2 linked regions of the Saccharomyces cerevisiae S288C genome follow. Changing the gene in region 1 together with any one later gene gives a genetic interaction. Each region holds a gene or a part of one and is shown on either strand. Other genes may lie near its edges.

The links.
Region 2: mutations in PAU1 (region 1) and UIP4 together harm fitness more than expected from each alone (negative genetic interaction), as found in Saccharomyces cerevisiae (one large-scale study listed by BioGRID).

The regions. Positions count from the first base shown.
Region 1 is NC_001142.9:8,276-11,061, forward strand, and holds PAU1 (seripauperin PAU1), read right to left. Parts: upstream 864-2,786; coding exon 501-863; downstream 1-500.
Region 2 is NC_001148.4:193,996-197,514, forward strand, and holds UIP4 (Uip4p), read right to left. Parts: upstream 1,432-3,519; coding exon 517-1,431; downstream 1-516. Other genes in the region: MF(ALPHA)1 (Mf(Alpha)1p), read left to right, coding at 1-150; MRN1 (Mrn1p), read right to left, coding at 1,955-3,519.

The sequences.
Region 1 (2,786 bases):
AAAAAACTGTGCCAACCCAAAAATTTTGATATTTTACGTGTCAAAAAATGAGGGTCTCTAAATGAGAGTCTGATACCATGACTTGTAGCTCGCACTGCCCTGATCTGCAATCATGTTCTTAGAAGTGGCGCATATTCTATACGGCCCGACGCGACGCGCCAAAAAATGAAAAAAGAAGCAGCGACTCATTTTTATGGAAGGACAAAGTGCTGCGAAGTCATACGCTTCCAATTTCATTGTTGTTTATTGGACATACACTGTTAGCTTTATTACCGTCCACGCTTTTTCTACAATAATGTAAAAGTTTCTTTCTATGTTTATCATATTCATAAAATGCTTCACGAACACCGTCATTGATCAAATAGGTCTATAATATTAATATACATTTATATAATCTACGGTATTTATATCATCAAAAAAAAGTAGTTTTTTATTTATTTTATTTTGTTCGTTAATTTTCAATGTCTATGGAAGCCCGTTCGTAAAATTGGCGTTTGTCTCTAGTTTGCGATAGTGTAGATACCGTCCTTGGATAGAGCACTGGAGATGGCTGGCTTTAATCTGCTGGAGTACCATGGGACACCGGTGATCATTCTGGTCACTTGGTCTGGAGAAATACCAGTCAACATGGTGGTGAAGTCACCGTAGTTGAAAACGGCTTCAGCAACTTCGACTGGGTAGGTTTCAGTTGGGTGTGCGGCTTGGAACATGTAGTATTGGGCCAAGTGAGCTCTGATATCAGAGACGTAGACACCCAATTCAACCAAGTTGACTCTTTCGTCAGATTGAGCTAGAGTGGTGGTTGCGGAAGCAGTAGCAGCGATGGCAGCGACACCAGCAGCGATTGAAGTTAATTTGACCATTGTATTTGTTTTGTTTGTTAGTGCTGATATAAGCTTAACAGGAAAGAAAAGAATAAAGACATATTCTCAAAGGCATATAGTTGGAGCAGCTCTATTTATACCCGTTCCTCCATCTGTCATCATTACTTAAACGATTCGTTAACAGATGCTCATTTAGTACCTCACATATTCTCCATATCTCATCTTTCACACAATCTCATTATCACTATGAAGATGTTCTTGTTTTTGAACGAATCATACATCTTTGATAGACTTCGTATGTGGAGTATTGTTTTATGGCACTCATGTGTATTCGTATGCGCAGAATGTGAGAATGCCAATTATAGGGGTGCCGAGGTGCCTTGAAAAACCCTTTTGCGCGCCTGCGAAGTTTCCATTTTCGGTCAAAAAGAATATCCGAATTTTAGATTTGGACCCTCGTACAGAAGCCTATTGTCTAAGCCTAAATTCAGTCTGCTCTAAACGGCTTCCATGCAAGAAATATTTCTATCTCTTGAATTCGTACAACATTAAACGTGTGTTGGGAGTCGTATACTGTTAGGGTCTGCAAATATGTAAACTCTCGGCGAATGCCTTGGTGCAATTACGTAATTGTAGCCGCTGAAGGCGGATGGTATTGAGAGAAGTTGATATTCAAAGAATCTTGTATGATAAAAATAAAATTGTAACCAGTTCGTAGTAGCAGTATTAAAACTTTGCACAGGGGGAAATATTTGATTCCGAGATGTATTCCCCCTTTTCTAGTCAGATATGAAGGAAAAAAGTGTAAGGGCAATAGATGGCGCTAATTTGTTCTATTCTATTCTAAAAACGTTTTCTAGGAAAAATATATTAATAGTTGATACTCCTTGTAATTTCTAAGTCAAAAGAAATGTCTCTATCTTTATCGTAACGGCTCATCGTTAGAGCTCAATTGTGCCTCTTGGATGTATTTCCAAAGTTCCACGTTTAATAACCCAGCCAACACAGATTCCTTTGAGAACAAATGGCTACCAAAGTTTCATTCAAATAAGCCTGACAATCAACCCCATCAAAGAGGAGCTCTTTGTTTTTCCAAACCCATGAGAAAAAAATACAGTTCCTTTTCCATACCAAAAAATGAAGAAGAAATCATGTGCTGAGAGTTGCCTGCAGTCGTAGAAGTTTACGATCCTAACCCATTATGTGATTCGTTGTGAGTCACCCTTCCATGATTATGTGTCCTTACTACCTACTATCCAATTACTACATATGTTTTGAACTCATATGTACCAAGCACCTAAAATTACGCACCCATTTCCATTGGCAAAGACTTGACGAAATTTAATACACTGCAATAATATCCAGCGATACTCTTCAAGAATTCCCGCCTATAATGGCGGCTCGCTGTCCGAAAGATTGCGCCGCACTTGACTGCTTCTTACACTCCTTTTTCCCAGGCGATAAACAGACTAAGCGGAAACTACGATATAATGCAGTAGAGGTCCCCCAAGAGCTGGAAAGAAAATATTAGTTTGATAGCCAGCACTATTCCATCCAGTGGGTTCTTGTACCATTTTCTGTGGTATGGCTTTGATTCAACTGCATACGTAGTTAACGCGATCAGCCGCACATGTCCATTATCATTTTCAGGGGTACTGGTAAACCCTATTGTTTAGAAAGAATATCTGGTAAGCGGGTCTGTCGAGTCTTCACTTCCTTCATACACATTTTATTGAGTAAATTATACTTAGATCCGGAATCATAACGTTGGAAAAGGAGACAAGGTTGGATAAGTTATGTAGGCGTATTTCAATAAGACGTATATGATTTAGTCTAAGAAACCGACGTATCTAGCCAGCATTCGCACTATGACGACAGTTTAACGTCGTATTGAGCAGCATCAACTGAATATAATGAAAAAAAAAAAATCATTCCTTGAAATTCGTTCTTCCGAAAACTGCT
Region 2 (3,519 bases), on another chromosome or scaffold:
AAGCCTGGCCAACCAATGTACAAAAGAGAAGCCGACGCTGAAGCTTGGCATTGGCTGCAACTAAAGCCTGGCCAACCAATGTACAAAAGAGAAGCCGACGCTGAAGCTTGGCATTGGTTGCAGTTAAAACCCGGCCAACCAATGTACTAAGCCCGACTGATAACAACAGTGTAGATGTAACAAAGTCGACTTTGTTCCCACTGTACTTTTAGCTCGTACAAAATACAATATACTTTTCATTTCTCCGTAAACAACATGTTTTCCCATGTAATATCCTTTTCTATTTTTCGTTCCGTTACCAACTTTACACATACTTTATATAGCTATTCACTTCTATACACTAAAAAACTAAGACAATTTTAATTTTGCTGCCTGCCATATTTCAATTTGTTATAAATTCCTATAATTTATCCTATTAGTAGCTAAAAAAAGATGAATGTGAATCGAATCCTAAGAGAATTCAACAGCGTAAAATACAAAGAGGATAACGACAACGAAAAAAAATACACTCCCTGATTATGATGCCTCTGAGCTTGACATTTTCGTTGTCAACCAAGAAAACCATGAGCCAAAAAAGCGTCCTAACGCTCCCAGTAGCTTTTTCAAAACACTTTCATAATCTTCAGTATTGGCATCGCCTTCTTTTACAATTGACTTAGCGTTTTGATCGGCGGGTTTATCTATTTTCTGTATTTCTTCTTGTTCGGACATATCCGTATTTTCAGTATCAGAACCGTTGATCTCATGTTCTGATTCTTGCGTGTCGGTGACGTCTGTATCTTCATTAACTCTTGTGTTATCATTATCATTACCTTCAGATAGATTGTCTAAACCTTTGTCCTGTTTATTCTCTGTCTGTTCCTGAGAAAAGTTTGGAGAGAGCTCCTTATTCTCTTCTTTTGGATCTCTTTCTACTGGAACTTCGTTCAATGGAGCATGTTCATACTTTCTTTCTTTCCTGGTAGTCTCTTTTGCAAAAGCAGAACCATCTTGCGAAATAGCTGTTTTAGGGGAAGGAAACGTTACATTACCTTTTAAAGAAGGAGTTGGCGTCTCAGGGCCCTCATAGTACAACTCTGACCCATTTTCATTTGTATTGTGTGCAGTTTTGTCGCCCTCGTCCTTTTCTTCACCAGCGCTTCCGCCGTCCTCTTCGTTATTTAAAGTAGCAACATTGTTTTCATTGCTGTGCTCGTCCACCTCCTTTGGATACTCATCATCGGCAAACCAGTTACCGTTCTGATCTATAAATTTGAAATGTACCTTATCTTTATCATTATGTTTGGTTACCGAAGATTCATCAAATTTGTATTCCCATTTCCCGCTACTGGTATTTATTTTCATGGGTACACCTTCCCAATTGGTAAACTCCCCAGCGATCTTCAACTCTGGAAAGTCTTCCGCCGGATGATCAAATACAATGGTGACCATTATTTAGTTGCTTTGCCTATCTTAATGTTACAACCAAGTATGTATGTATGTACGTACGTATGCAAAGAAGTGGATATAGAGAAGGAAAGTAGGGGAGAGAGGGAAAGAACAAAAAAATTGAAGTTATTTGAGATAGTCTTGTATTATTTATCTGTATGTACACCGTATTGGTGGAACATCACTGCCAAATTTTTTATCCCATTTTCACATAGTTCCCCTTAAAAGAAACTTTGTTAGTATCTTTAACCCTTTACACTGTGGGGGTAAAATATTACCGCTTCGGAGATTTCTTTGACAGGGGAGCAGGGAAAAAGCGATGAGTGAAAGAAAGGGAATGCGATGATAAAGATGATAATGTTGCAAACGGTGAGAAACTTGCAGATCGCAGTGGCTAATTCTTAATCTTTATATTTTAACAAGACTTCTAAACGTAAACCGCAGATTGCTGCATACATACAAGGATACACACACACAGACGGACACTAAACATCTACGTACATACATATACATATATACATAATGTTTAACGTGATTGGTGGGGGACGTTACCACATCTATCCTTGCCAAAGTTTATTTTGAGATCTTTGAAATAGGGGTTAGACTTAATCTTGTCTAAGGCTAAAATAGCATTACTGATGTTAGTATAATTGATGAAACAACAGTTCTTCTCAGGCAAGAAATTGATTTGTTCCACTTCCCCATATTGCTGAAAGATATGTCTTAAGTTGCTTTCGGTGAAGACACGTTCATCTCTTAGGGAATCGCCGACAAAATCAATATTACCCACATAAACATTTCTTGAGGCACCATTACTGACTGCCAAGGCGAGCGCATTTGGTAATGGGCCGGAGTGTTTACCCCAGCCGACTTTGCAACGTTTTTTCTGGACTGTGAATCCATACAAAGAACTCATTGCATAAAACTGCGCAGCAGCAGTAGGATCAATGAATGTTACAAAACAGACGTATCGATCGTTCAATAGTTTTATACTTTGTAATAAACCTCCACGAACTGCATTACATATTTCTTCAATTTTAACATCCTTAGGCAAGCTGCCCAGGTAAACAGTCCTGTTACCCAAGTTATTGGGGCCGCCCGCAGATGTAGCAATTGCAGCAGCAGCAGCAGACTGTTGTAACAAAGCGTTAGATATAAATTCACGATCAGAAAACTCTATCATATGTTCCATACCAGGTTGTACACCTAGAAATTGAGCCGCATTATGTTGTTGAGTTTTGGTAATAAATGCACATCTGTCCTTTCCATAAAATATTCTCTTATTTTGATAGTATGGATTTCTAATTGGCAGATTCGTAACCACTTTTATAGCATTTAAAATAGACGCAAAATGAATAAAGGCGATTCCCTTTTCCTTGATAATTTTTATACAGTCAATTTCACCATATTCTTCTAAATCAACCCTCAATTGCTCCTCAGATAAATGTGATTCTTCGCCTTCAATCGTCATACGGCCAATGTATACATTTCTTGTGGCACCGTCCGTAGAGATTCTAGCCGCTACAATAGGATCAATTCGAGTTGGTTTCCCCCACCCGATTTTGATATCCCTGTCACCGATGTTCAAGCGCTTTAAAATTGCGTCTGAATGGAACAATAGTGCAGCACTTTCATCTATAAACGAAACGAATGCACACATCTTTTCAGGTATGATTTTGACGTCTTCAACGACACCACTTCTGACATGATCCAATAACTCTTTAACGCTTAGGTTTGGTGGCACATTACCCAAATAAACAGTTCTACTTGGGGCCGATGTAAAATTCAAAGGATTATTGGCTTGTGCATTAACTGGTAAAGGCGCATTTGCGTTGGTTACTGCAGTTGCAGTTGCCATAATAGTGGGTGACATGCCATCAGATAACACATTTGGATTCTCATCATCAAAAGGAGAGACTTCATTTGATGACCTTTCATATTCATAATAACGATTGTTATTGTGGACAACTTCGTTATCAATTTCGAAATTTTGTTCCTGTGAAAACCGTTGCTGTTGTGAATCATTTCGCTGCTTTGTCTGGAATTGAGTTGGTTGCTGTTGAATACGCTGATAATCAAAAATTCCGTCAT